Linked DNA regions of Arabidopsis thaliana. The protein of the gene in region 1 interacts with the protein of each later gene in a pairwise test. Each region holds a gene or a part of one and is shown in the gene's direction. Other genes may lie near its edges. The genes, in order: GCL1, AT4G18205, GRF5 and AT1G33110.

Region 1 (7,836 bases):
CATTTTTTAATAGAAGAGCTAATAACAAGGTATGACATGCAAAGCCAATATATAAGCATATCCGATCATAAGGGACAACTTACCAGTTTCTGTGCATCATGATGAGAAGGATAAGACCGAGAAGACCAATGAATCCCAGTACTAGATAGAAAACTAAGTTGACATGCACGCTAGTCTTCAATCGCTCAGACACGGTAAAGTCTCCAGCATCTTCGAAACCCTGAATAAGGGGCACCACAGCCCTGTTTAGAGGTAACATAGTTTAATATATGAGGTAATGTACATCTATAAGCTACAAAAACAATGTAGATGGATTGTGTGAGTGCATTTTAAATACTGCCAAACAAAACAAAATTTACGCCTTAAAGATAACAACCATGTAGATGAACTTATTTGACCTACACTGGACACGTCCTGTCATGTTAACTAGGTAATATTTTCAAAAGTAATCTGGTTTCACCACCTAATATTGGATTTGATCAAAAGACAGACACAATATTCTGAAAATATGGGGGAAGACGTGTCAGGTAAAAAGCACTGAAAAGCTTGACCAGTTCATACCAGGTGAGTAGAAACGTACTCCAGTATGACCAACTCCATAAGAAGGAAATGGCGCCATTCTCAGGATGATCAGGTTGCAGAGATAGTGTCTGCAGAACATAAGAAGACAAATGAAGCAAAACAATTTCATATGAGACATCTCCTAGTTATTCTAGTTTGGTTTACATCCAAATCATACATGGCAACCAAAATCTAGCTACCATTGAAACTTTCCCAAAAACATTCCTCAACAGCTCACAACCATGAGAGACCAAAGCTATCTATCCATAAACACAATTTGTTTGACTACCAAATCAACTAAGCTTCATGCTTAAAAACCTTCAGTGAGTATTTCAAACTCTTTCACCACTAAATACTAATTTCAATATAGGTCTAACAAATGCGTATAAGCCGTATTCAAACACCACATTCTTCAGCTAAATCTCAATTCAACGTATGATCCTATGAAACTTCCAGGCATCAGAAAGAACCCTTTAATTATAACCGACGATTCAATTCCAAATCAAGTAAGACGACTCCTAAATTCAAAATCGTAAGCTCGTAAAGGCCAATTCGATCAGAATCGCACAAGTCCGTATTGGCTGAAAACATGGAAAGTAAAACTTACCGTCCAAATGTCGGCAGGAGCGAGGATGATAACGGAGACAGAGCAGAACCAGGTGTATCCAACGGTGATAAGAACGTACCGAGGAATCTCCGGTCCGGCGAAGTATCGGAGCGTGAAAACAACTAATCCTAGGGTTAGAGGCAACGAGATCAGATAGAAAACCCACATCTCCCTCTATCTCGATGCAGAGAATTCAATTAACAAAAATCTGAAACAACCACGAGCTTAGGGTATCGATAAACGCCGCTGCGAGATCGCTCGACTCGTCTATATGTACGTTAGCGCGTGAGAGTAACGCGCCGGTAAGAGGAAGGTCGCTCTCTAGTTTGTTGTTCCTTTTTTTCGTTCTTCAGTTTCGTTTCCTTGGTTCGATCTCGGTTCGGTTCATTGACGAAGAAGAAGAAGCAGCTTTTTCCACGCTCTAATGCTTTTTTAAAAAGAAAACGTAAATATTTATCTTCGTTATTTGGTGAGAGTTGAGAATTGAGAGACTTTGAGAAGAATTAGTCTGATTAATATTAAATAATTTCAACCATCAAATCTAAAATTAATATTTGTTTGCGTCAAATTTAATCCATTAGTACTCTGATAAATATGATTTTAAGTTGTAAGGTAATTGGTTGTTTCAGAAAGTCAAGGAACACATTTTTTTTTAATTTTTGTTTAATGAAAATGCTTAATTCTTGCGCAAGCACGAAGTTTTTGATATCATGCTGCGCATTTTCGCATGAAATTTTGAATTTTCTGTTTGTTTTTTTTGGGTTTTCATAATTAATTATTAATTAGTTGTCTTAAAAAAAAAACTCCACTATTTTTAATTGAATAAAATGAATTTCAACAAAGTTAGGCCTCTAGGAACTGGGCTGCACTTTACAAAGCCTGATATTGATGGTCAGTAACTGGGCCTGGTTACACCTACAAATATAATTTGATGAATTAAATATGGGCCGTCCGATCTATAGAGACTACATGCGTTTTACAACATACGGGGTTTAGGTGTTTAATTAACACGCGTGAAAGAATATCACATGATTCACGTTTTCCAAACGTGTTTACAGGTCAGCAGCTAATACACTGATTCATGTTCAATAAGTGACTATCTAACCAAATGTATAATTCGTAAATTGACAAGAAACACATTTCGACGCGTTCACACTCACCTATTTTAAAAATATAACTAATTGATCCGTTTATCAACTAAAACATTACATATTCGATTAGTTTTTTAATCGTCTGATATAGTATGAGATTCTCAAATCTCTGCACTTTTTTATTCCTTATTTATAAAGGTATATAACATCGAGCGTTCGTAGTCCATGCCATATCCCCTAAGCCAGATCTAACGGCAAATCGATTCGTAAAAATGATAGAGCCGACAAGATGCTGACACGTTTAGGCTCTGTCTACCGGTTCACGTGTATTACGGTCATGTCCTGCAACCAGAATCCAATACCCTAAACCCCACTTTCAGCTTTTCCTTTGTTTCTTGATACTTTAATAGAAGCATCACATTTATTTTCCAAGATGCTTAAGTCATTATTTTAAAGACTGGTAGGTCCTATACCCAAATGCACAAAATTACGAAAACACGTGTGGAACTGCTAAAAATCATACTCAAGTACCTAACATATTTATTAACTACTGAATTAATCCAAATAAATTACTAAAATATTTTATACCAAAACTAAACTAAAAGGTGATTCACAAATTTCTTTTAAAAGAAGAAAAATCCATTACAGTAATTTTATTTGGTCTAATAGAACTAAAATAAATAAAGATAAATAAAAAAACAGAAACTATATAAATAGCGGCTGTTATAAAAACTACAAATAAATATAACTCCCGTATTTGATTCTTTCTTCAAGATATCAATCAAGATCAAGAGTAAGACAGAGACACAAAGGCGAGAGCTATGTCGTCGTCGGTGGATTTCGTGACGGAACAGGGGAGATGCGGCGACGATGGTAACGGCGCCGGAGAGACAGTAAAGAATGGCGAAATTGATCATTTGCTTTCCGAACCGTCGGCTCCGACTATTTCTCTCCCTACGGAATCTTTCCTCAGAGCAGCGACGTTACTCAAGAACCAGGTGCGTTACGATAACTATGCGACGCCCCAGACGGCTAATGTAAGCCTAGTCCGTACGTTCGCTCATATATGTTTTTTGGTCGATGTATGTATAGGTTGTGGAGGCCACGTGGAAAGGTGGTGTCGAAGCTCTTGCCTCTGGTTCGGGTCCAGTGCTGGATCCGACTGTGTACACAGGACTACTCGGCACAGCGTTCACCTGCTTGAAGTCGTACGAGGTAACGCGGAACCATCAAGATCTGCTAACTTGCGCAGAGATAATCGACACGTGTGCCAACGTTGCGCGTGCCACAACCAGGTGAAAATATCTTCGTCACTAAGTTGCTTAGCCAAGTAAACATCAAATATCATCTTCCATAAAAAAAAAAAATGGAATCTAACCATTTTAAAGAATATTCTTAATTAAAATCTGTCTGATAGAAAACACATGTGTGAGATTGAGTCATTACAAAGATGTCACTGTTTAACCAATTATAGTTTATAGAAAATTATGTATGTATGAACGAATTTTCAGGTTCTGGAATAATAACAATATCTACACACCCATTAGAATGGACTTGTCATTTTCTAACAAATTATTGGACTTGTTATGCTCATGAATAGGCACGTGACATTTTTATGTGGAAGAGGAGGAGTTTGTACGCTTGGTGCAATTGTAGCCAATTACAGAGGGGACCAATCAAAGCGTGACTTCTTCCTCGGTCTTTTTCTTGAGGTTCCAATCTTTTTGACTTCATACACCATTTCTTTTGCTTACAACACTTTCAGATAAAAGCTATAGATTCAGTATTTTGATCCAACGTGTCATATATTAACCCTTAAGCAAGATTAGTGAAGTGACGAGCCTTTAAGATTTGTTATTCTTACAAGCAGCTTGCAGAAGAGAGAGAGTTACCAGCAGGACCAGAGGAAGGAGGATTTGGGATGTCATATGACCTTCTCTATGGAAGAGCGGGTTTCCTTTGGGCTGCTCTGTTCCTAAACCGATATCTCGGCCAAGGAACTGTTCCTGACCATCTCTTATCACCCATTGTTGCAGCCATCTTAGCCGGTGGGCGAGTTGGAGCTGCAGATCATGAAGCTTGTCCTCTGTTATACAGGTTTCACAAAATAGCTATAGTTTGTTAAAAGAGAATCCTGTTTATCTTTAGTAGGAATTGATCTTACTTTTGTGGCTTTTAGGTTTCACGGAACGCGATTTTGGGGTGCTGCGAATGGATTAGCTGGAATCTTGTATGTATTGCTGCATTTTCCACTATCGGAAGAGGATGTTAAAGATGTTCAAGGGACATTGAGGTATATGATGAGTAATAGGTTTCCGAACAGCGGAAACTACCCGTGCAGCGAAGGGAATCCGAGGGATAAGCTAGTCCAATGGGCTCATGGAGCAACCGGCATGGCCATTACTTTGGCTAAAGCATCTCAGGTGTTTCCCAAGGAAAGGGATTTCCGCGAAGCAGCCATTGAAGCAGGAGAAGTAGTGTGGAAGAGTGGCTTGGTGAAGAAGGTAGGTTTAGCTGATGGAGTTGCTGGTAATGCCTACGCTTTCTTATCCCTTTATCGCTTAACCGGAGATGTTGTATATGAAGAGAGAGCAAAAGCGTTTGCGAGTTACTTGTGCCGTGATGCGATAGAGCTCGTGAATATGACAAGCCAAGAAACAGAACATGATTATTCGCTATTCCGGGGACTAGCTGGACCAGTATGCCTCTGGTTCGATCTTGTGTCGCCGGTAGATTCTAAGTTTCCTGGTTATGAGATATAATTTAAAACCAGGTAACCGTAGGTTCTTTTATGACTATCTCTTTGTGAAAGGATCTTAGGTTCTCCGGTTTATTCCACTTTCTATAATCTATTGAAGTAACTTGAGATTTGGGAGAAACATTCATAGAAAACAAGAATAAAAGTAACATGAAAAGATCAGCTTAATGGTTTAAACGGTATTGGTAGTATCACTCAGACAACGGAGAATGCAACCGAGACCAGCTCTCTCTGTTAGTTTCTCGTGAATCATCAAACACTGTTCGCATGTGGGTTCGTCACCAGTCGAAAGACCTCTGTACAAGTACCTGATCCACACCATTTAAGCAAACAAAACACTGCTTCCACATCACGCTAATTAAAAGCTAGCAGAGCAAAAGGCAAGAGACTTACTTCATGAGAATGTCGTAATACTCGGCAGTAAGAGAATTTAACATTCCTTCGATATCCTTTATCGCCATGATAGCTCTGTGCACAACTATCCAATTAGCTGACTGCAATTTCACAGATATTTATCATAAATTACACAATCTTTTTGATCATGAACAAACTACTTATGTGCATGGTAGAGGAAACAGTAGGACCTTGCAACGTTCGTCGAGAGTTTTAGGTGGCGAACCATCAAGAGCCGTTTTAAGAGCTTCGACATGTTTGTAGCTGAATAAAACGAAGTAACAATTATAGCCTAGGTCATCTGAGAAAGTTGGAAGAAAAAAGGAACTTTAGGGTTATTACTGTTTGAGTAAGCTTTCAATCTTCTGCGATTTGGTTTCGATCCTTGCCATTATTTCCTCTGCATTATCAGCTTCAACAAATGCTGCTGCACCAGCCATTGGATCTCTCTCTTTCTCTACACTCTCCAGCAAAATTATCTAAAACCTAATCAATTAATTTCATTTCTTCATTCAAATCGACAACTTGCTGCATAAGAAACATATGATTTGAGTTTACTAACCAAAGGAGGCAATGCAAAACTTGTCATCCCCATAAAAAGCTAAAAAGAGAAGTAACAATCACGACAAAATCAATTCTAATCACGTAAAACAATCCATTGCCGATGGTACGCAGATTTCTCACATCATATCAGATCAGTAATCCTGAACTTTCTGATCAAATCATACAAGATTGAAGAATCAAGCAGGATTCGAAGATTACCTGAAATTAGAGAGAATAAAGCAATCGAGTGGTAAAACGGCCGAGTGAGAATTTATCAGAACTGTGATACCAATTATTAAAATCGGATGCTTCAGTTTTTAATTTTTACTTTTTCACATTGACGTAACAAGAGAAATAGAAAAGTTGTTATTGCTGGTATATATTTGTAATTAACAAAAATGTAACAATAATCTTACAAATGTAGAGAGAATAAAAACATGTTGATCAAATTAATATCCAATTTTTAAGATCAAATTAAGATCGGTTTGTTATACTTGGATTCAACACCCCAAAACCCCACAAAAACTGCTCATTAAGCAACAAATGAATCACACAGCTCTAGATAGGAGAAATATCCCAATCAGAGTCTTTAAAACATCTATATATTGTTGTTATCAAGTAACATTCAAGAATTGAATTGGTTTATCTAAGAGTTACAACACATGTTACTCTTGTTTGGTATCACTTGACCAGGACCTGGAACAATATCAATCTTCTTACCAGCAAGCGACCCGGGATTACCATTCTCTTGATCTTCACTCGCAGCCAGACTTTTCTTGTTCACAATGTTGAAGATCTCAGTCAAAACCGTGGAGAAAGCGCTCTCAACATTGGTTGCGTTAAATGCAGATGTCTCCAAGAAGAACAAACCTTCTTTCTCCGCAAATTCTTTCGCATCTTCTGTCGGTATAGCTCGTTGATCCACAAGATCTGACTTGTTCCCAATAAGGATTATCACAATGTTCTTATCTGCATGAGCACGTAGTTCTTCTAACCATCTTGGGATATGGTCAAAGGTTTGGCGTCTGGTTATGTCATACACCAACATCGCCCCAACCGCTCCTCGGTAATATGCACTTGTTACTGCTCTGTATCTGTTTCAACCAATACCACACATATAGAAAGATATACAATGTAAGCATATGATAAGCATGAAATGTGGTGGTTAGCTTACTCATTAAAGATCAGTGAATGTATAAAGTTGATGAAGCATCACTGGGAAATGTATAACAAAAGTGTCCAAATTTGTACCAATCATAAAATTATAGAAGCTTAATAACATTGGAATAGTAATATACATAATTCTAGTCTATACATAATTTTGAAATCCCAATCCCAAATTCTCAATGATTCTACCATTTTACTTCAGATCCTCCCAATTTCGTATACAGATCAGTAAGCTTTACTAGAATTCGAAATCCTAAGCAGACCTATCATCTTCCAGATCTAGAGAAACAGTAAAATCTTACGAGATCTAAGTTCAAGCAATTGAAGTAGCTAAAAGTTCCGGGAGAGGTCGGAGATTACCGTTCTTGGCCGGCGGTATCCCAGATCTGAGCCTTAACACTCTTGTGATCGATAACAAGCGTCCGAGTCTGAAACTCAACGCCGATGGTGGCCTTAGAATCCAAACTGAATTCGTCTCTAGCATAACGAGCCAGTATCTGTGATTTCCCAACCGCGGAATCGCCGATCAACACCACTTTGAACACATAATCAATCTTCTGCGACGGATCTCCGTATCCTCCTCCACTAGTCATCTTCTTCAACGTCTCTCTCTCGCTAAATCCTCTCTTGCTAAATCCTCTGTTTTAAGCTTTTACCGAAAAGTGAGCTTTTTTGAAGTTTTAAACGCAGAGAGAGATCTGATACGGTCGTATTGT
Region 2 (6,816 bases), on another chromosome or scaffold:
CATTGTGAATTCTCTGTTTCTCCTTACTATTTCCTCTGCCCTCCTCGTGGTCAACACTGATTCGGAAAACACAGCAAAAGTGTCTAGAGTAAAATATGTGATAGGGATAATATGTACCATTGGTGCTTCTGCTGGGATTGGATTGCTGCTATCCCTGGTACAACTGATCCTCAGGAAGGTTTTAAAGAAGCAAACATTCTCAACGGTCACTGACTTGGTCGCTTACCAATCTCTAGTTGCAAGCTGTGTGGTTCTCATAGGACTTTTCGCAAGCGGGGAGTGGAAAACTTTAACAAGTGAGATGGAAAACTACAAACTGGGGAAAGTGCCATACGTTATGACTTTGGCCTCGATAGCTATTTCCTGGCAAGTCTACACCATTGGCGTCGTGGGACTGATCTTTGAGTCATCTTCTGTGTTCTCCAATTCCATAACTGCTGTGGGATTGCCTATAGTTCCAGTTGTAGCAGTGATTGTTTTCCATGATAAAATGAACGCGTCAAAGATCTTCTCCATCATTTTAGCTATCTGGGGATTCATTTCATTTGTCTATCAGCACTACCTCGACGAAAAGAAGTTGAAGACTAGCCACACAAGTCCTGTAGGAGATCCTCATCTACTACCTGCTGAGGAAGGTCACACAAACATACATAGTGTATGATCAAAACATATTTCCAGTGTAAAGCCAATGTATCTTTGTACAGTTTGAGCATAGATATAAAAACGTGTATCTCTAGTCAATCATAAGTAACTGATAAGTTTTGTACATAAGATACCAATAGTTCGGATCTTTTTTACTTCTATATACCGGAGATACCCATAACTTAAAGATGCAAATGCAATACTCTGCTTTGTCATTTTGCAATGCATTTGAATCACCAAAAAACAAGAGCAAACATCGATAGCAGAGAGGCAAATAGGCTAAAGCATCCTTGGAAAACCAGAGCTTTGAACAAAAAAAAAGAAACAAGTGAACAAAAATAATACCCACTTACCTGGAAGCCACTGACATAACAAATAACCAATGTAGTGACTTGAACAGTGCCTTGTAAAAAGACTCCTTAAAATACCAAAAACGTATACTCCAGGAGCTTGGATTCTTGTATCTTTGTTGACTTCTGATTAAACGTCAGTAGACACTGAGAAAATAAAAAAAATTCTCGTAGAGCCGCCATTCAAAAGTTTCAAGAATTCCACAAGTCAAGTGTAAGCAAATAAGAAAAGTCACCGGTCAACATGAGACTACTAAATAATGATACTGCTACTGTCATCTATCGCCTGCCCCATCCATATAATACGATTTACTAAAAGCCTGCCATGTTTGATAATGCAACTTGTGTAGGGTATTTAGATGTTTTTTTGTAATACCATCAATGTGTGTTTAAAGAAAGGCCTCTTGTGTATCTGCACGACATCTCAAACAAAACCAATCAATAAAAACAAGAAACAATCTTCTTTCTCATGGACAGATCTCAAGAACACTATGCCAATGGTAAGAAGAAGCACCTGATAAAGTTAGATCCTTGAATTCATTTTTTCATGAGATATAATAAACATGAGTGTTAATTTTTCAGGTGACCAGAACTTAGAAGCAAACCTTATAGATCATGAGGTGGTAACTGAATCATCATCATCAGCTGTGCCTCAAACCGAGAACTATAAAAGGTGGCTTCGTGTCTCCATATACGTAATCTTTGTCCTCTTTTGCCAGCCACTAGCTACAATTCTGGGTAGATTGTACTATGAAAATGGAGGAAATAGCACATATGTGGTAACACTTCTTCAACTCATTGGCTTCCCTGTACTGGTTCTGTTCCGCTTCTTTTCTCGAATCAGGCAACCCAAATCAACAGATACAAATTTCAGTCAGTCCCCTTCCTTCACCACCCTTGCATCGGTTTACTTGTGCACTGGACTGCTAGTGTCCGCTTATGCTTATTTGTCTGCAGTAGGGTTGCTCTACTTACCAGTCTCTACTTTCTCCCTCATCTTGGCCTCACAGTTGGCCTTCACTGCCTTTTTCTCATATTTCCTTAACTCGCAAAAGTTCACTCCTTTGATAGTCAGTTCTTTGCTTCTCCTCACTGTATCCTCTGCTCTTCTTGTGGTCAACACTGATTCAGAAAACTCAACTAATGTATCTAGAGTACAGTATGTGATCGGGTTCATATGTACCATCGGTGCTTCCGCTGGGATTGGACTGTTACTATCTCTGATACAAATGCTCTTCAGGAAAGTTTTCACGAAGCATACATCCTCAGCAGTCACGGACTTGGCCATTTACCAGTCTCTAGTTGCGAGTTGTGTAGTTCTCATAGGACTTTTTGCAAGTGGAGAGTGGGAAACTTTGCCAAGTGAGATGAGAAACTACAAACTCGGGAAAGTGTCATATGTTTTGACTTTAGCCTCGGCAGCTATTTCCTGGCAAGTCTACACTCTTGGTCTTGTGGGATTGATCTTCGAGTCATCCTCTGTGTTCTCCAATTCCATAACAGCTGTGGGATTGCCTATAGTTCCAGTTGCGGCAGTGATAGTTTTCCATGATAGAATGGACGCATCAAAAATCTTCTCCATTATTTTAGCTATCTGCGGCTTCCTTTCATTCGTCTATCAGCACTACCTCGACGAAAAGAAGTTGAATACTAGCCACACAAGTGCTGTAGGAGATCTTCATCTACCTGTTGAGGAAGGTCACACAAACATACAAAGTGTGTGATCAAAGCATATTTCCAGTATAAAGCCAATGTATCTTTCTTTTTTTCCCCTCAAAGGCCAAAGCCAATGTATCTTTGTACAGTTTGAGCATAAAAAACGTGTAACGCTACTTTGCAAACTAGTCAGTCATAATAGCTAATAAGTTTTGTACATATGATACCAATAATTTCAGAATATTTTTCTTCTATATATACCAATAAGTTTTCTTAAAGATGCAAATGCAATACTCTGCTTTGTAATTTTGCAATGCATTTGAAACACCGAATCAAGAGCAAACAACGAAGTCAGAGAGACAAATAGGCTAAAACAGAGCTTTGAGCAAAAAAAAAAAACAAGTGAACAGATATAATACCCACTTACTTGGAAGCCACTGACATAACAGATAAACAATGTAGTGACTTGCAACAAAACTCCTTAAAATACCAAAAACGTATACTCTAGGAGCTTGGCTTCTTGTATCTTTGTTGACTTCTGATTTAACGTCAATAGACACTGAGGAAAAAGAGTTCTCTTAGAGCCGCCATTCAAAAGTTTTAAGAATTTTAAGTCAAGTGTAAGCAAATAAGAAAGGTCAATGGTCAGCATGAGACTACTAAATTATGATACTGCTGTCATCTATCACCTGACCCATCTTTATTATTATACACAAATTAGTAAAAGTCTGCCAAGTTTGATTAGTGCAACTTGTATCTGGGGTATTTAGTTACTATAATAAATATCATTTTGTGTATAAAGAAAGGTCTCTTCTGTATCTAAAAGACATATCAAACGAAAGAAATCAATAAACACAATATTCTTTCTTCCAAATTTTCTCATTTCTCATGGGCATATCTCAAGTACACTATTGCAATGGTAAGCAAAAGGTACCTGATGACGTTAGATCATTTGATCCTCTTTCGATGAAATATAATAACCACGAGTGTTAATTTTTCAGGTGACCAGAACTTAGAAGCAAACCTTCTAGATCATGAGGAAACTGAATCATTTTCAGTACCTCAAACGAAGAACTGTAAGAGGTGGCTCCGTGTCTCCATATACGCAATCTTTGTCATCTTCTGCCAACCACTTGCTACAGTTCTGGGTAGACTGTACTATGAAAATGGAGGGAAAAGCACATATGTGGTAACACTTCTTCAACTCATTGGCTTCCCTGTACTGATTCTCTTCCGCTTCTTTTCTCGAATCAGGCAACCCAAATCAACAGATACAAATTTCAGTCAGTCCCCTTCCTTCACCACCCTTGCATCGGTTTACTTGTGCACTGGACTGCTAGTGTCTGCTTATGCTTATTTGTCTGCAGTTGGGTTGCTTTACTTACCAGTCTCTACTTTCTCCCTCATCTTGGCCTCACAGTTGGCCTTCACTGCCTTTTTCTCATATTTCCTTAACTCGCAAAAGTTCACTCCTTTGATAGTCAATTCTTTGTTTCTCCTTACGGTTTCCTCTGCCCTCCTCGTGGTCAACACTGATTCAGAAAACACAACAAATGTATCTAGAGTACAATATGTGATTGGGTTCATCTGTACCATTGGTGCTTCCGCTGGGATTGGATTGGTACTATCTCTGATACAACTGCTCTTCAGGAAAGTTTTCACGAAGCATACATCCTCAGCAGTCCTGGACTTGGCCAATTACCAGTCTCTAGTTGCAACTTGTGTGGTACTCATAGGACTGTTTGCAAGTGGAGAGTGGAGAACTCTGCCAAGTGAGATGAGAAACTACAAACTGGGGAAAGTGTCATATATCTTGACTTTGGCCTCAGCAGCTATTTTCTGGCAAGTATACACTGTTGGTTGTGTGGGATTAATCTTCGAGTCTTCTTCTGTGTTCTCCAATTCCATAACTGCTGTGGGACTGCCTATAGTTCCAGTTGTAGCAGTGATAGTTTTCCATGATAAGATGGATGCATCAAAGATTTTCTCCATCATTTTAGCTATCTGGGGCTTCCTTTCATTTGTCTATCAGCACTACCTCGACGAAAAGAAGTTGAAGACTTGCCAGACAAAACCTGTTGAGGAAGAAACACAAACTTTATGAAACAAGTTGTATCGAAGGTCTCAGAAACAAACATACATAGTTGTACACAGTCATGTAAATAACCTATATAAAGCTTGTATGTGTAATATCCGTAATGGTCCATGCAAATGGGATATGTATGTCGCTCATATTTCAGGTATTTAGAACTTTTATTCAAAAGAGTATTGTGTAATACGAGCAGAGTGATAAAAGCAGTCATTTATTTAACAGAAAAACCATGTCAATTTTGTGATACTTTCATTGTGTGAGTGTGAAACCCGATAAAAATTGACCAGTTAGCATAACTTACAGATATGTCAATGCAATATTCTCCTTTCTAGTTTTGAAATGCACCTAAATCTTGGGAAACAAGAACAAACAGCAAATCATGTATAATGAGAGATAGAAGATAATTTGTCAGATTGGTCCAACATCCTTGGGGAAACAGAGCTTTGAACAAAAAGTAAATGACCAGAAATAATACCATTTTATATAGCGACTTCCTCTGCCGTCCAGTATTAAGTTGTTGCGAATGTCTTCTCTTGAAAAGATAGGCGAGACATAATCTTTAGCTAACGTCAGCATCATCTTGATGGCAAAAACTTCATGACTAGCCATGGAAACCGAAGTGTGTACCCAATCCAAATAAATTTAAAAAGACAAATAACTTTTAGAAATGTCGTCCTCATCAAGATCACAGAATACTACAACTTGTGTACACGTTCATACATATGCGTATGCGTGTTAAGTTTCTATTTGTCTATGCGTATGGGGTTCATGTCCTCCACATAGTTGCAGAAGAAAGTCTGAATGAATATTGCCTACACATAATTTCCTCCTAGACTTAACTCATCTCTTGGTCAACAATAGAGGCATCTTTGCATGTAGAAAGACTACAGATACTAAATTCATGGAAAGAGAAGAGATATGGTTGGCATTTACTGAATGTGGGGCCAAGAACAAAGAAAACTTAGACGGTGACCGATTCCTAATCCCAGAATATATAACTTAGCATATCTCACCCATATCAAAGGAGCAATCACTTGGTAGCATTATCAACCAAGAGAATTGATAATAAGATACGTTAGTTCCTCCTTGTCCATCTCCAAGGTGGTGATTCCACATCCACCATGACGGCGGATCAAGAACTACAAATCATTGGTGAGTAAGCATAAACCAGTTTGTGGTGAACGTCCTATTCTTTCATCTTCAAAAAAAAAAAAGATGGTTATGATATTTTATAATTCAATATATGAAACGATCGACAACAAATAAACTAATTTTTGCGTTATTTTCACTCACTTACCAGTTCGGCAGGGAAAAGAACCAAATCCAACAGTTCAAGATGAAAGAAATTCAGTCAGTAGCAGCCAAGCAGAAGTATCTCACTCTAACACATACAAACGGTGGCTCAGGGTGACTTTATATACATTCTTTGTCATTTCAGGCCAAACAGTTGCTACAATTTTGGGCAGAGTATACTATGACAACGGAGGAAACAGTAAATGGCTAGCAACGGTAGTTCAACTTGTTGGCTTTCCTGTGCTACTTCCATATTATATCTTGTCATTTAAAACACATGCAACAACTGATAGAGATGGAAAAAGAACCTCACCTAGGAACCGTGTATTGGTTTACGTAGTGCTTGGACTTCTTGTAGGAGCAGATTGCTATCTGTACTCCATTGGACTTCTTTACTTACCCGTTTCTACCTATTCCCTGATCTGTGCATCTCAGTTAGCCTTCAATGCTTTCTTCTCTTATTTTCTTAACTCACAAAAACTTACCCCTATCATTTTAAATTCTCTTTTCCTCCTAACTATATCTTCCACCCTACTTGCATTCAATAATGAGGAGACAGACTCCACAAAAGTTACAAAAGGAGAGTATGTCAAAGGTTTCATATGCACCGTTGCTGCGTCTGCTGGTTATGGTCTAGTCTTATCCCTACAACAGCTAGCCTTTCTAAAAGTCCTAAAGAAGCAAAATTTCTCAGAAGTTATGGATATGATAATCTACGTGAGTCTAGTGGCCAGTTGTGTTAGCGTGGTGGGGCTTTTTGCTAGCAGTGAGTGGAAAACTTTG
Region 3 (7,384 bases), about 21 Mb from region 1:
ATTTCTTGTGCAGGTGTGTGGTGATAATGACAACTTTGTTGTCATAAATCAGAAGGGTATTGACCCACCATCATTGGATCTTCTTGCTAGAGAAGGGGTAAGCTACTTCTGTGTTTTCTTGCATTTAAACTTATGTTACAAATCGCTGAAATTGTGATATTTAGGAACAAGAAGAAAGATACTAGGGAAGAATGTGTTATTAAGTGAATTGAAATTGCCAGTAATATTAAAAGAGTAGTTCCTTCGATATACAATAATCCATGGAGACGATTGGCAGCATTAGTTTTTAGTTCTGGGACACTGACTGAGCTTGTCTATTCTTTTGTACCTAATTTCTCTTGTTTAGAAGCTGTTGAATCTAATTACCTTTCCTCATGTGTCCAGATTATTGGTCTTAGAAGAGCAAAGAGGAGGAACATGGAACGTTTAGTTTTGGCCTGTGGTGGAGAAGCTGTGAATTCTGTTGACGACTTGACCCCTGAGTCTCTTGGATGGGCTGGACTTGTCTATGAGCACGTTCTTGGGGAGGAAAAGTACACCTTTGTGGAGCAAGTGAAGAATCCTAATTCATGTACCATCCTCATAAAAGGTATTAGGACGACTTTTATGTCTTCATTAAGTTTTGATGGTTCATTTGTTCTTTTAGTAGTTTTAGTGTTCATTCATGAATTTCTTGGGTTTTGTAGGGCCTAATGATCACACTATTGCCCAAATTAAGGACGCTGTTCGTGATGGTCTGAGATCGGTCAAGAACACCATAGAAGACGAGTGTGTTGTGTTAGTAAGTACCTTATATATCTTGAAGTTTTTTTGTTAACATTGCTTTATGTTTCTCCGCAATATCAAAGAAATTGTTAATTCGTGATCAAAACCCTGGGTAAGGTTAGCATATAGACCTATTGTATATGTTTTGCGTTATGTTAATGTGTGGTTGCATGTTTCTGTAGGGAGCAGGAGCTTTTGAAGTTGCAGCAAGGCAACACTTACTCAATGAAGTCAAGAAAACCGTTCAAGGGGTAAGTTGATTTCTTCACTCGTACTCTAATTCTCGCAACATTACTTAATGCATCCCAATATTCTAAATTGCTAATACTATCATGAACATTGCAGCGTGCCCAACTTGGCGTTGAAGCTTTTGCTAATGCCCTTCTCGTGGTGCCTAAGACACTTGCAGAAAATGCAGGTCTTGATACCCAAGATGTGATCATTTCTCTTACGGTATGCATTCATCTCTCTTATCATCTTCTGCAAACTGAAATCAATTGTTGAAGGAACAAAGAATTAGAATTGCTCATTGTGATGCGCTTATGCAGAGCGAGCATGACAAAGGGAACGTTGTGGGACTGAACCTTCAGGACGGTGAACCTATTGACCCGCAGCTTGCTGGTATTTTTGATAATTACTCAGTGAAACGCCAACTTATCAATTCAGGGTAATGTTCGACCCAACTAGTCAATTCTAATAAAAGCTTTGGGTTTCGGTTGAAACCATTTCAATAACCGGCTATTTGTTTGTGTTGCAGGCCAGTGATTGCGTCGCAATTACTTTTGGTGGACGAAGTGATTCGTGCAGGCAGAAATATGAGGAAGCCTACTGCTTGAAGTCCTTTGCTTTTAACTTGGTTTCTAATTTGTAAGCACCTCAAATTTTGTTTCTTGGTGTAAATCCTGAATATTGTGAAACATATGTTTTTTTTTTCTTTTTGGCAATGAAAAACATATTTGAATCTGATCTTTAGATGTAGTGGATCTTTTGCAAAATGATAAAAAATAGTAATACAAAATCTATTTGAATCTGATCTCTAGATTTAGTGAATACACCCATATTTAAGAAAGGCCACAGTTTATTTATAAAAAAGGATATATTTTGGTTCGCAATGAACAAGAAACAAAGCGAGGACATTATATTGGTCGTACTCAAATCTTTTGTTCAACAAACATCTATATGGCCGAGGCTGAGACTTTACCCTCTTCTTGAACCATATACGCTCTCTTCATTTCCTCCAAGACATTGTCATTGGTGCTGCAGAATCAACAAAATAGTTTCATGGTTAGACAACATTTAAGCATCGGCCCAACAAGGGAGACGTTCATTAGGGAGTCACATAAAAAGAACTTGTGCACCAAGAACAAGACTGTGCTACACCGATATAGAAGATAGTTATTACTTCTCTTTTATCGCAGTATCAAAGAATCATCAATCATCCCCTTCTATAAGCTTATATTTGGTTACATATATATACTAGCACTGGTACGTCATGATAACGTTATGCATCTCCTAACCACAAGTTGTCTCATTTCATCATATCAGACTTACCAGTGAAGGGTATTAAGAAAGAATAATCAAAATCAGATGCCCCCATACACAACAAATCTTTATACGTAACAGTGAAAAAAAGATGACACCTCTAATGGAAGGAGCACTAAAAACTCGAAAAACTTACAATTGATGGAGGCAAGTGTTGAGCTCCCTAGCTTGCTTACGACATGTCCATACCACAGAAAAAGTTCTTCCTGTTGCGCATTGAGCATACTTGGAGACGTACTGATCACATTCCATTAATGCCTTTGCCTTCATCTTGCTACGCAGCGCTAATAACAAAGTATATACATAATCAATCAAACAACCATTTAACAAAAAAAAACCATCACCATTTCAACTTCAACACAATCTATAAGCTCAATTCATAGAAGCAATTTGACACACTCAATGAGAGCTTGCTAGATCAGATGCAAAATATGGAGTTACTACCAAGGGTTTATGAGAACCCTAATCCTCAATCTAGCAAAAGAATCTGCGTCTATGATAAGAAACCAGGCTTAAATAGTATCGATATGGTTGATCTCATTTTCGAGGCAATAAAAAAACCATTTGGGGGTTTAGGGTTTTAAAACATAGCGAGATGAAGAAGTCACGACATTGTCAAATTACCTTCTTCGACCTTCTTCTTCACGTGATTTTCACGAGCTTGCTCCACATAGCTACCCATTGACGACGGACCTTCGAGCTTTTCCGGCCTTCTCCGATCAATTCGATCAAAAGGGCAAAGGGGACTAGAAATGGGTTCAGGGCAAAGGGTAAATCCGTCATTTACCCCAAGGAAACTTAACTTATATTGCCATTTTGCCCCCTTAATATTTTTGTATTATATGAATGACCTTATTAACTTATGATTCGTCACATTTCACCCACTTCAATTTAAAATTATGGACGAGAATTAAGTCCTTTGACGGTCAACAGATTAGCACGTGTCGTATTTTAATTGGGTCGTTGCCCCTCTCTCTCTCTTTACTCTTTTCCCATTTAATGGTCACGAGACCGTCTCCCCCAAATTTCTCACTTCCCCTAATTTCGCTTCGAATTCAAAAGCCCTAATTCGAAAATTCCCATTTCTCAAGGTACGGTTCCGATCTTCCTTGCTCATACTTCGACAATGTTTTTTCTGCTTCTCGTTTTCTGCGTTTATTGTTGATATGTTGTTGATCTTCGCGTTTTGGTCATCACTTCAAGATCTGTAGGATTCAAAGTTCGTTCTATCGATTTTGGATAGATCTAGCAGTGTAAATCGTTTGTCAAAGTTTTTTATTCTTTGGGTGCGTGGATTAATTTTGTTAGAGATGATTGTTATCGTTGCTCTTGAATGCAAGATTGTTGCAGCATTACTGAGTTCTATTTCGTGCTCTTTGTTTATTGCTGCTGCTTGATATTTTCTTGTTGAAAACAGGTTTTTAAAAGAGTATTGCAAAGATGTCTTCTGATTCGTCCCGGGAAGAGAATGTGTACTTGGCCAAGTTAGCCGAGCAAGCTGAGCGTTACGAGGAAATGGTTGAGTTCATGGAGAAAGTTGCAAAGACCGTGGAGACCGAGGAACTTACTGTTGAAGAGAGGAATCTCTTGTCTGTTGCTTACAAGAACGTGATTGGTGCTAGGAGAGCTTCTTGGAGGATTATCTCTTCCATTGAGCAGAAGGAAGATAGCAGGGGCAACAGTGATCATGTTTCGATTATCAAGGATTACAGAGGCAAGATTGAAACTGAGCTCAGCAAGATTTGTGATGGCATTTTGAACCTTCTTGAGGCTCATCTCATTCCTGCTGCTTCTTTGGCTGAGTCCAAAGTTTTTTACCTGAAGATGAAGGGAGATTATCATCGGTACCTTGCTGAATTCAAGACTGGTGCTGAGAGGAAAGAAGCTGCTGAGAGCACTCTTGTTGCCTACAAGTCTGCTCAGGTTATCATCTTGTTTCTTCTTCTTAACCATATAGAGTGCTAAGATAACATGTTGTCTCATGCTATTGGTGTTTGTGTTTTTATGTAGGATATTGCTCTTGCTGATCTGGCTCCCACTCACCCAATCAGACTGGGGCTTGCTCTTAACTTCTCTGTTTTCTACTATGAGATTCTCAACTCATCTGATCGTGCGTGTAGTCTCGCAAAGCAGGTCTGTGTTACTTTTTCATTTATGCTATGCTTTCTGTCATTAACTAACAAACCTATATTCCAACTGTTTTGCTTGATTAAACTTAGCACATAAGAGGTTCTTTTTTTCTATCTATCGTTCATAATGTGGCAAAAACGTGTTACGTAGTTAACTTGTTACACTTCCATGTGGGTAGACTTTCCATATGTTCTAGTAATGGTTTGTAGATTGCTTACCATAGCCTGACCGATAGGGTTGTAGTTAATTTTGATGATGGGCAGAATTGGGAAACTAGATCCTGTGAATGGTTCCATACACTAGTGAAATTTGGACAACCTTCACATTCGGATTCTAGTTTGATTCAAGTACCTTTTGTTTAGTTACTAATATGATTTTTCATGGTGGTAGGCTTTTGATGAGGCAATCTCGGAGCTAGACACATTGGGAGAGGAATCATACAAGGACAGTACATTGATCATGCAGCTTCTCCGTGACAATCTCACCCTCTGGACTTCTGACCTCAATGTACTTGTCTCTCTTTACACTCATCATTGTTAGCAATATCTTAGTGATTGCATCATGCAGTTAAGATTCTTGTTGGTTTTCGCATAACATTTGTGTCTAATATCTAATCTCCAGGACGAAGCTGGTGATGATATCAAGGAAGCCCCGAAAGAGGTGCAGAAAGTTGATGAACAAGCCCAACCACCACCTTCGCAGTGATAAAATCAGATCCATGGAATGATTTGCAGACAAAAAAATATATGGCTTGGTTCTGTGTTTTTAAACAGAAAAAAACCTTGTAGTTTCCTTAAACATGGGCTGTAGTTTCCTTAAACATGGATTTGTAGTAGTAATTGTAGCTGCATGATTTGGTTATCGATGGTTAAAACTCTTTGTGTGCTTCTCACATGTTTTGGTTGTTGTCGTTGTTGCCGGTTTCACTATTAGACTGCATTGCATTACATGGTCCGGTCTAAAAGTTGAAAACTTGCTTCCTTCTCTGATTGGGGTTTAGTTGTCTTTTAGATTATGCTTCTCTAGGTGGAATGTTCCCCAAATGGAATTGGTTAAGACTCAAGAGAGTTGTTCAATGAAACGAAATAGAAATGGAATTTCACAACTTTAAACGAAAGATAAAGCCTCTTTCGGTTTGGAACAACTGTTAGGTAACACATATAATGGAATTACAAATCATAAATCCTCCATGACCATAAGCTAAAAAGTTGGATTAATTAATAAATGACATGGGAATGGGAGGTAACATTAACTGGTCCAAAATAAATAATTAATGTAATGACACATTCACATAATAATATCTCGAATTGAAATCCCACCGAGAGTGCCCTGCTTTTCCACTGAGTTTCTTCATATATATCTCTTTCTCTCTCATTTGTAATTGTATCTCTCACTTTTGTTTCAATGGCTTCAGCTACTTCCGTCATAGCCTGGTCATTTCTCTTTCTATTCTACCTCTTTGTTTTTCTCCATTACTGTTTCTGACTTGTGCTATTGCTCCTTCGTTTGATTTTTTGGCACAGGGGTTCTGGAGAAGATGGGCAACTAGGACTTGGAACCGATGAAGAAAAGGAATTGGCTTCCGTCGTCGACGCTCTTGAGCCTTTCAACGTTCGCTCCGTCGTCGGTGGTAGCCGCAATTCCCTCGCCATTTGCGATGATGGCAAGGTTACTTATCCAATTTCCTTTATGTGTCCTTGTTGTGTCTTCTTTGGTTGGTTTCGCTTAGAACTAACTAAAGTACAATGCTTTGCTTTGATTTTGCGATTTGATTCTAAGCCATGTCTTTAAGATTTTCTTAGTTCGCTTTACATAGGGTTTTTGAGATCTGTAGGACCAATTAAAAAGGGTTTAAAGCTCGTATTTTTTTTCTTGTCCTGAAGTCCAACTAAAATGCAACCAATATGTTTGTCTGAGGTTACTCTCGAATAGATCATCAGACTCTGGTTCTTGTCTCCATGGTGTAGTTTATGATTGATGTGTCACCAACATATAGAAATAATATGGTCTCTTAAATGGTTTCTCAGCTGTTTACATGGGGTTGGAATCAAAGGGGTACATTAGGACACCCACCTGAGACAAAAACAGAAAGCACCCCAAGTCTAGTTAAGTCTCTTGCCAACGTCAAGATTGTTCAGGTAAAACTTCTTACAATTATTTAAGTATTTTTGGCTCTAATGCTGTTTCCTCGTTGTGATTTACTCTGAATTGCCGTTTCTGTAATTGATCATAGGCAGCTATTGGTGGCTGGCATTGTTTAGCTGTCGATGATCAAGGCCGAGCATATGCTTGGGGTATGCATTTTCTCTCTCAGCTTCTTTCTAATGATTGTGACCTCAATGATCTTAATGATCTTAAGTTGTTCACCTTTTTGTTATATAATCTACTTAGGTGGAAATGAATATGGACAGTGTGGTGAAGAGCCTTCCAAGGATGAGACAGGTAGGCCTGTGCGGAGGGATATTGTAATACCTAAGCGTTGTGCCCAGCAACTTACAGTCCGACAGGTTACTTATGCTGCTAACCTCTCTTCATTTACCTCAATTTTTAGTTCTCTTTTTTTCCTGTCTAAACCATCTGTTCTCGGGTTTGTATGATTAAAATAACAGGTAGCTGCAGGGGGTACTCACTCTGTGGTTCTAACCCGTGAAGGTTATGTATGGACTTGGGGTCAACCGTGGCCTCCCGGTGACATGTATTATCCAAATTTCCTTTCGTTTATGGATACGACATTTGCATTTTCTTGTCTTCTGTTGGTTTATATGGTGTTTCCTGTGTATCGCAGAAAACAAATTTCTGTTCCTGTAAGAGTTCAGGGTCTTGAAAACGTTCGTCTGATTGCTGTGGGAGCATTTCATAACTTGGCTCTGAAAGAAGATGGGACTTTGTGGGCTTGGGGTAATAATGAATATGGACAACTTGGAACTGGAGACACACAACCGAGATC
Region 4 (8,937 bases), on another chromosome or scaffold:
CAAAGACATGATTTAGCTTAGAGATTTTTATCTGAATATAATCAGCTTAGTGTTGAATTTGAGTTATATATACTCTTTTTCTCTCGGTGTTCTATTGTATTATGTCATTATGTGTGTAGAACTAGAATCGTCTCCTTTGCCCGTAAACATAGCCAAAATATTGTTAGTACCAAGAAACGTAAATTTGGCCATGCATATATATATAATTTACTCCATTTGTTACTACAGTTTTTTGGATTTGTTTGGTGACTTTAAAAATGTTTTCATGTTCGTGACCTCATGATGATGATTGATCGATTGTGAAAAAAGGACAGCTTTTGTAAGGAAATACCGATCTAATACTACAGTGACGCGACTGCTTACGTAGACTTCTTTGCCTCCTCTTGTCGTAGCTTTGTTTTGTTTTTTTCCTTTAACAAATCCTTATTCACAACCACAAACCCCTTTGTTGTTCATATGATCATATAAAATAGAAATATGCATACATTTCTTTTTTATCTTTAAATGTCATTTGCAGATTTATATCTATTTTTTTCTACAATTATTTATTAAAATTTAAATGCCAAATTGGTATCAACCACTAATTTGGGTTTAAAAACAAATACATATCTTTGTTGGATCAGAAGAATAGTTGTGGTATTGAACCGTTGGATTGAACCAGAATGTAAAGATTAAACGAGACTTCACAAACAGAACAAATAATATTTGTTCGGGAGAATTCTCTAATCTATATAACAATATCTTAAATAATTTAATTTCTTAAGTCTTTCTACCAATTTTTTTTTTTACAACCATATTTCATTAAGAAAGTTCAAAGGACTACTACAGAGGGAAGCCCAATTACTACAATGAAAATACAACCTAAGTTTTAAGAAAACCTAGATGCTGACACGTGTTGAAGTCTTCTGCTTCATCAAGCCACGCATCAGTTGATCGAGCGCTGCCGTGTTTTTCTCGCCAAACATCACCGCCTTAGATCAGCCACCGTCGATCCGTCGTGGAGCGATGGGTGGTTGCCTCCTGTCTGACGATCTCGAACCCAAGCCGTAAACGCCGAGAACCTCCAGATCTATCATATGGTATGCTTCAAGAGTTCTCCGAGCAAATCCAACTCCTGGGAAGTTCCATCACAGACAACACCTTTACTGATGCAGTCGAAACATTGCTCCAAATTCACGAACAAAGAAAGATAATGAAGATATTACTCCTCGAGATGATTGGGAGGATCGGATGAACCTCGAGGGGCAGTTGGACAAGAGATTAGTCTCGCCGTCGCGAGAAAACAAAAACCGGACTACTCTAGTAGACTGACATCCGACTAGAAGTCGAAAACTTATTTAAATCTAATATAAATCTATATCTACTAAATCAACAGTCACTTTATCACAAACTGCAACATTCTCCTGTTTACACGTAAGCAAAGTCTTAATTTATTGAGTTTTGATTTTTCTGAAGCGTAAAACAATAATTCTTTTCTCATTAACATAAATTATTAAAGAGATTTAATCCATAATTTATTTCTTTCTTTCTCGCCATCTTCATCACTATCTTCCCCATTCCCCATATCTTGCAACAGTTATTGCTAATTTATGTTGTTTCATCTTCTATGCAATTTTCTAATTACGAATCTCAAATTTTTCACATTCGGATCAGTTATTTTCTTTTCCGCCTGCTTTACACCATGACGCCATGGCAGATTAACAATCCTTACATTTTTTTTGCTGCTTGCCATTCTCAAACCAAAATTCATCTCACTCTCCCTTCTCATTCGAGGTCAGTTATGGCTGAAGAAGAGGTCAACCACAACGACTGTATATTCAATTAAGGTATCAAATTTGTAAAATTTCTGAATTATTATAATTTTCAGTTTTCCATATATTGTTTTGGCTTTCAGTTTTAACATCATTTTCTTTATACTTTGTGAATTATTACAATTTTCATCTAATCACATCTCATTGTTGGCTATTAATGTTGTCAAGAGAAAGTGTTTGAGAATCTGACTTTAAGACGACATGGGTTTCGTTTTCAGGATCCCGTGTGAAACATTTTCAGAAAAATAAAACTCTTACACGATCATGAGTCATGACTAACCCAATGACATGCTAAGGTTATCAATTCTCAATTAGTTCTTCCTTTATTTTTTATTTAAAAAAATAGTTGATCTTATATTTTTAAACTCAAATATAGTGCTAGACAAATTGACTTTTTGATTTTGTGAAATCACAGTAAAACAAAAAACGAAGCCATACAAGCACAAGATGTACTGATATACACTAGAGAAAACCAAAATTTTTTCAGTTTTAAAATGGTGATATAGATGAACACAAGAGTCATATATCTGAAAAGCTGAGACTATACGACAAAGGAAAACAGAAACAGAAGAAAAAGATATCCATAAGGTTGTAAAACATGTTTTCTCATGCAATTGAATCTTCAATAGAATTGGATTGATTACAAATTTATGGACCATTGGATTTTTGTTATGCTAGAATCTTTAGAACTTTGGAAATTTCGAGTTATGAGGTTTAGAAGTTAGGCATTATTGAAATTGTACGACGAATAGACTATATAGAGAATATATATTTTATTTTTTATTTTTTGGGCAAAAAAGAATATGCTTTTACCTGTTTTTCTAAAAAAAAGTTATCTTACACAGGACACACTAAAGATAACGCTTTCAAACAAAAGAATTTATTTTTTATCAAATTATTTTTGTCCCGAACGTAGTCCAGGCTTCATACTAGTAATATTTATAAGTCCGAATAAATCCGAAAATAAACCCAGACGATATAGAGCCTCTTCTCTCTGAAAAATTAGAAGAGATAAAAGAAAAGAAACTCTCTTGTATTTTGCAAGATTTTATTTTCGGTTTAACGGAAATCGCCTGCTCCCCAAAAAAAAAAGAGTTTTTTTAACTGAAATAAGTCTTTCTACCAATCTTGTTAGCAGAAAAATGTGACAATAGTAGTAGTTCGATACGCTCGTGACTTGATTCTTGTCTTTTTATGGTTTATGGTGTAGCAAAATTAAATAATTGTTAGTTTTTCTATTTTATTATATAAAACAATATAGAATGATTTAATTATTTTATTTCTTAGAATGTTTTATAAGTTTCAACTTTCAATACATGACTATTTGTATTTTATAATTGGTTGAATCAAATATCAAATAATAAATTTGTTTACTAAAACATTATTATATATTTTCTATATTATGAAACATAGGTAGGTTTGTTAGTCAAAATAAATGGTCTATAAAATGCAAGATATCTTAGCTAGGTGTCTATAAACCACTCACTGCTACTTGCTGCTTGGCGTAGACGGCTTTTCGTTTCCCAATAAAAATGACGATTTTTAAGCAAACAAAAAAACATTAATCTATAAAGACAACAAAAAAAACAGAGTTGTTCTCATAAACCAATTCATACACAAACACTCTAGTCTCCTCTCTTTTTCTCTGCCTTCTCTCTTTTATTTATTCCCTCCTTCCCTCTGGTCCTCCATCAGATACAACAACAGAGACTCCAAGATGGCCGGAGGAGGAGGAGAGCTCACGGCGGCTTTGTTGAAAAAGACGGCGGAGAACGGCGGAGAAGAGAAGGATGAGTTAGGGTTGAAGCAAAAGGTTTGGATTGAATCAAAGAAGCTATGGATTGTGGCGGCGCCAGCGATCTTCACGAGATTCTCAACGTTCGGAGTTTCAATAATAAGTCAATCTTTCATCGGCCATCTTGGTCCTATAGAGTTGGCTGCTTACTCTATCACCTTCACCGTTCTCCTCCGGTTTAGTAATGGTATCTTGGTGAGTACTTTCTTCAATTATTACTCTCAATTTTTTTACCAACAAGTTAAATCATTTCTTCAAACATTGAAATCTTCGTGATACTATTACTGACCATTCATAAATTAAACGCGTTTTTTGTTTGTCATAACCCTTAGAAATAACTTTTCATTAATCTATTTACCGGTGATTGCCTTAGAATGCATAACTATGCAATAAATTAAATTGTGGTACCTTACTGAAAATAGAAAAGAAAACATTGAAAAATGATTATGACAAGTCTTTTTTCGGGAAAGAATAATTTCTCTTTTTTTTCTGTTCAACAATTCCTTTTGTTGCACATTAAATATTATTGACTAACAAATGAAAAATCAGAAATATAATTAATTCTTCCAAAACTCAATAATAAAGCACAGCATGTTTTTGATTGGTCAGAATTAAGAAGAAAAAGAAAAAACAGAACTACTGATTGTAATTTATAAATGGTTCCTTTTGACGGATAATTGAAATAACATAAATCATGTGAGTCCTGACAGTTGACACTGCTTGACGTAACATGCGGTGGTTTCTTGCGAACCACATATCAAATTTGTAGTCTCTTCTCGTATTTTCCACAATTTTGTAGAATAATGCAGTAGAGAAATAATTCTATACCAGTTTTTAAAAAGTTAAAGGGTTTATTATACAAAAAGAAAAAGAAAAAGAGAAGGGTTTATTATACTATAACCTTAAAAGAAAAGGTGTAGGAAAAGTATTGCAGTTGATAAATTATTTTTGGGAAGACAAGTTTGACAAGATTTTTCAATGGCAGTCCACTTAGGAGGCGTAACCACTCTCCACCCTGAAAATCAAAAGTTGTTTCATATTTTACATGTTTTCAGTATACAACTCCAAAAGTACCATCATATCAAAATTTTGTCGAAGCTTTTAAGCCATACACTAGACGCCATAAAGAGCCAAAAGAGAGACAAATAGGATCTAATTATTGAACTATCAGACAAAAAGAAAGTTTTGAACTCTTTTTATATACCTTCTAATCAAAGTCAAGTCACTACACTGTAACAACGTTTGAGCTAGATCCTGATAATTTTACATACTCATCAAAATTTGGTTCAGTTTATATGGTCTTGAATGATTTTGTATGGAATGTTATTTTGGCTAACATTTATTATGAAGCTATGTAGATGTCTCAACTTTGGTTATTATAACTATCGTGTAATAACGAACCGTAATGCAGTTAGGTATGGCCAGTGCATTGGAAACACTATGTGGTCAAGCCTACGGAGCTAAACAAAATCATATGCTCGGGATCTACCTCCAAAGGTCATGGATCGTCCTTACAGGTTGTACCATTTGCCTCACGCCCGTCTATATCTTCTCTGGCCCTATCCTCTTAGCCTTAGGTCAAGAGGAACGCATTGTCCGTGTGGCTCGGATCATAGCCCTATGGGTCATAGGCATCAACTTCTCTTTTGTGCCTTCCTTCACTTGCCAAATGTTCCTCCAAGCTCAGAGCAAGAACAAGATCATTGCCTACGTGGCTGCTGTCTCCTTAGGGGTCCATGTCTTCTTGTCGTGGCTACTTATGGTTCATTTCAATTTTGGGATCACTGGTGCTATGACCTCTACGCTAGTTGCGTTCTGGTTGCCTAATATTGCCCAACTCTTGTTCGTCACGTGCGGTGGGTGTAAGGACACATGGAGAGGATTCTCTATGATGGCCTTCAAAGATTTATGGCCCGTCTTCAAACTTTCTATGTCTTCCGGTGGAATGCTTTGGTAAGGTTTCCTCTATTTTTTTAAGCAGCAAACCATATAATTATCAATTAGTCTAGGATTTGATCCTAAAGTTTTGGTTACAATAGAAATTCATATGAATAGCTTTACATGTAGGTGATATGAAGTTTCTAATTAAACTAGTAAGAGTCAAGTCAAAACCACATGCTCTTAAGTTTTTTACTTACTAGGAATGACTTTCAAAGACTGACAGTTTGAAATAATCAATGTCGTATAAGTAGACTACCTTACTAAACTATATTTACATGTACGCATATTGAGAAGTTTATGATTATACAATAATAATTATCACTTTATGGCCGTTATTTTGGGCAGCTTGGAACTATGGTACAACTCAATCTTGGTACTGCTCACTGGAAATTTGAAAAACGCAGAAGTGGCTCTTGATGCACTAGCAATCTGGTAAACTAACACGACATGACCAATACCGATTAATTCAAACATCTATTCATTTTATTTAAAATGTAGTATGCGTAAATAAACTATTCTTAACCATTTATTTTATATAGCCTCAACATAAATGGACTGGAGATGATGATAGCACTTGGGTTTTTGGCAGCTGCAAGGTACATACATATATTAATTCATACATATACACTTCACTTTATTAATTCTATTTATGTATCGGTCTTCTTCCTTGTCTTTTCTCTAGCGTAAGAGTGTCCAACGAGCTCGGTAGTGGAAACCCCAAAGGAGCCAAGTTTGCAACACTAACCGCGGTTTTCACATCACTCTCTTTAGGAATAGTTCTATTCTTCGTCTTCTTGTTTCTGAGAGGAAGAGTTTCCTACATTTTCACTACAAGTGAAGCTGTCGCAGCCGAAGTTGCCGATCTTTCTCCGCTTTTAGCCTTTTCCATCCTCATGAATAGTGTTCAACCCGTTCTCTCTGGTATGTATATTAGCTAGTTGGCGCGAGATGGTTATTATTACAGTATCGAATATAAACCGATATTTGAAATATTATGTGTCTTGGATCGGTTTTAACCTTAACAGGAGTTGCCGTCGGAGCTGGATGGCAAGGATATGTTACTTACGTTAACCTTGCTTGCTATTACCTTGTCGGAATTCCTATTGGTATTATCCTTGGTTATGTCGTTGGTTTGCAAGTGAAAGTAAGTTTTATTTTCTTTATAATTTTCTCCTTCTTTATAACGGTCTTGAAAACAAAAATGTGTGAAAGTAAAAAAATTAACATAAAAAAAGTTATTCTCTAAATTTTCTTAGGGCGTATGGATCGGAATGCTCTTTGGAATATTCGTTCAGACTTGTGTGCTTACCGTCATGACTCTGAGAACAGATTGGGATCAACAGGTTATAAATCGATTACTATGTTTTCTAATTTGTTCCTAGCAAGCTATGTTTTTGGTGCTTATTCTTATACCGTTTGTTGCCAAATATATTAGGTGTCAACGTCGTTGAGACGTTTAAATCGGTGGGTTGTACCAGAATCTAGAGACGTAAACCAAGTATCATCAGAGGAATAAATTGGATTCTAGATTGTCTTTAGCACCGTCACATTTTATTCTTAAAAGCTAAAATGTAACTTTTAGGCTATGTTCCAAGATTGTGAAGACAAGAATATGACAAATTTGGGTCGATTTGATGTCCTCGCAACTAACTTGTAATAAGATTCTAATGTTTAACCAAAAAACGAAAACGAGATCCTAATTTTTGGATTAACACTAGATAGTGTTACATTTAGCTATGATTCATCAAACACAAAATTATTTTGGGGTTTATAACCAAAAAAATAAAAATAAAAATAAAAAATTTACTATTTATGTGAAAAGAATAACAAAAATTAAAATATTTGGGTGACCTTCTCAAATAGTATAGAAAATCACACCAATTTTATTTTGTACTATTTGAGATATTCATGGTAAGAAACCATAGAGCGATGCTCTAAAGTCTAAATAGTGACAGTTTGGTTTTAAAACATTTAAAACAAATTTGTTGACTAATAGAACTGAATTTTTTTTTGTCTCATTTAACAACTGCAATTGTAACATATATATATTTTTAATAGAAATAAATTAACAAACTTTTTTTGATGATTTATGAAAACTATTTAATGATATAAATGTTTGGATACTAAACTTGAATTATTTCTCCGTCGGCTTTGTTTGAAAATATATAGAAAAAACAATTAACGGGCCATGTGCTTGTTGCAAATAATCTATTTATTTTTCATTTTAGGAATTTTGTTTCTCGGCACGAGTTGGGCTGATTTTGATAAGCCCACATGACATTGTTTTAGGGTTTCTGTTTTTCTTCTTTATACTTTTTAAAACGCGGCCAGTGAATAATTTTCTAAGGTTTATGCTTTAATCAATGAGATCAGTTAGAGAGAGAGATAGAGAGTTTTGTACAGAAAAACTCCATAGTGGTTCATATTCACAACTTTATCCTTCAAGTCCAAAAAATACAAAATAATCTTATGAAGTCCAAAATAATACGCAATATAATCTTTTTTTCACTATTGTCAAATTTAAATTTTTTGATAAATAATATACCAAATCAAAGATCTCTAGATAAGGAGTTCAACTTTATCTTCAGAATTCTCAAAAACTAATGTATGAGATCGTGAAAACATTCTAATATATGTAAAATTAAAAAATGGACTATATTGCGTATTATTTTGTATTTTTAGGACGTATAGGATAAAATTATAAAAATAGACGATTTTAAGGTTTTTTTTCATAAAACCTTTTTTTTAATACAAGTTAAATAATTTTTTTGTAAATAATTTTTTGTTGGAATGTCAAATTTATTCAACAAAAGAAAATGATTACAAAGAGTTTTGAAAGCTAAAAAATAGAGAAAATAAACGTGAAAAGTAGAAACAAAAATAATGGAATTGGCGCCACTTACATCATTACAGAAAGTTCAAAAGGCCTAATTCTGACACAATATTATTAACGGGCCATGGGCTTAATGACAATAATAAACTTTTCTCACTTTTGAGTTTTAATAAGCCCACATTTGCTTTAGGGTTTCTGCGTCTCTACCTTTAAATTGCTTCCGACGATTCATAAACTAGGGTTTCTGCCTTTAGCCGTCGTGAGAGAGAGAGCAAATCGAAGAGAGAGCAAAGAGAAAATAATATGTTGTTTGCGTTTGGTACGGTGACTCGATCTGTGGCTAATTCAGTGGTGGTTTGCTACGGCTTTCTTTCGACAATGGTGTTTTCTTTCGACCTAAACTTGATAGACCGAACCAAACTGAACCAATTTTTATATATATTTACTCAATTAAATCCTAAACTCCTCTATTTGATCTGAACCCGATCAACCCGAATACATAAATATCTAATCTTATCCATCTGAAAGGATACTAAACTCTCTAATTCGAATTACCC

Evidence for each region.
Region 2: the proteins of GCL1 (region 1) and AT4G18205 interact in a protein complementation assay, tested with the Arabidopsis thaliana proteins (one large-scale study listed by BioGRID).
Region 3: the proteins of GCL1 (region 1) and GRF5 interact in a protein complementation assay, tested with the Arabidopsis thaliana proteins (one large-scale study listed by BioGRID).
Region 4: the proteins of GCL1 (region 1) and AT1G33110 interact in a protein complementation assay, tested with the Arabidopsis thaliana proteins (one large-scale study listed by BioGRID).

The regions. Positions count from the first base shown.
Region 1 is NC_003076.8:26,083,314-26,091,149, reverse strand, and holds GCL1 (GCR2-like 1), read left to right. Parts: upstream 1-2,872; 5' UTR 2,873-3,080; coding exon 3,081-3,257; intron 3,258-3,351; coding exon 3,352-3,554; intron 3,555-3,625; exon of another isoform or gene 3,626-3,845; coding exon of another isoform or gene 3,846-3,859; coding exon 3,860-3,971; intron 3,972-4,129; coding exon 4,130-4,356; intron 4,357-4,438; coding exon 4,439-5,021; 3' UTR 5,022-5,189; coding exon of another isoform or gene 5,190-5,325; 3' UTR 5,326-5,410; coding exon of another isoform or gene 5,411-5,511; 3' UTR 5,512-5,557; downstream 5,558-7,836. Other genes in the region: AT5G65290 (LMBR1-like membrane protein), read right to left, coding at 84-242, 562-650, 1,169-1,336; AT5G65274 (ARP2/3 complex 16 kDa subunit (p16-Arc)), read right to left, coding at 5,190-5,325, 5,411-5,511, 5,602-5,674, 5,753-5,850; RABA4a (RAB GTPase homolog A4A), read right to left, coding at 6,600-7,047, 7,481-7,713. UniProt on the Arabidopsis thaliana protein: May play a role in signaling. May be not involved in abscisic acid (ABA) signaling.
Region 2 is NC_003075.7:10,070,314-10,077,129, forward strand, and holds AT4G18205 (Nucleotide-sugar transporter family protein), read left to right. Parts: upstream 1-3,397; 5' UTR 3,398-3,536; coding exon 3,537-3,567; intron 3,568-3,649; coding exon 3,650-4,752; 3' UTR 4,753-5,057; downstream 5,058-6,816. Other genes in the region: PUP8 (purine permease 8), read left to right, coding at 1-661; PUP7 (purine permease 7), read left to right, coding at 1,462-1,492, 1,575-2,716; AT4G18203 (uncharacterized protein), read right to left, coding at 2,431-2,607, 3,139-3,186, 3,338-3,346; PUP10 (purine permease 10), read left to right, coding at 5,862-5,892, 6,041-6,816.
Region 3 is NC_003076.8:5,241,766-5,249,149, reverse strand, and holds GRF5 (general regulatory factor 5), read left to right. Parts: upstream 1-3,311; 5' UTR 3,312-3,398; intron 3,399-3,407; exon of another isoform or gene 3,408-3,593; intron 3,594-3,724; 5' UTR 3,725-3,747; coding exon 3,748-4,230; intron 4,231-4,317; coding exon 4,318-4,440; intron 4,441-4,827; coding exon 4,828-4,944; intron 4,945-5,058; coding exon 5,059-5,142; 3' UTR 5,143-5,595; downstream 5,596-7,384. Other genes in the region: AT5G16070 (TCP-1/cpn60 chaperonin family protein), read left to right, coding at 14-97, 385-589, 687-781, 948-1,016, 1,111-1,218, 1,314-1,432, 1,523-1,601; AT5G16060 (Cytochrome c oxidase biogenesis protein Cmc1-like protein), read right to left, coding at 1,941-2,022, 2,444-2,591, 2,932-2,989; AT5G16040 (Regulator of chromosome condensation (RCC1) family protein), read left to right, coding at 5,842-5,870, 5,961-6,105, 6,465-6,575, 6,671-6,731, 6,829-6,944, 7,047-7,132, 7,223-7,384. UniProt on the Arabidopsis thaliana protein: Is associated with a DNA binding complex that binds to the G box, a well-characterized cis-acting DNA regulatory element found in plant genes.
Region 4 is NC_003070.9:12,001,556-12,010,492, forward strand, and holds AT1G33110 (MATE efflux family protein), read left to right. Parts: upstream 1-3,298; 5' UTR 3,299-3,528; coding exon 3,529-3,801; intron 3,802-5,017; coding exon 5,018-5,559; intron 5,560-5,892; coding exon 5,893-5,979; intron 5,980-6,086; coding exon 6,087-6,143; intron 6,144-6,229; coding exon 6,230-6,468; coding exon of another isoform or gene 6,469-6,485; exon of another isoform or gene 6,486-6,572; coding exon 6,573-6,691; intron 6,692-6,803; coding exon 6,804-6,890; intron 6,891-6,982; coding exon 6,983-7,063; 3' UTR 7,064-7,297; downstream 7,298-8,937. Other genes in the region: AT1G33102 (uncharacterized protein), read right to left, coding at 978-1,076.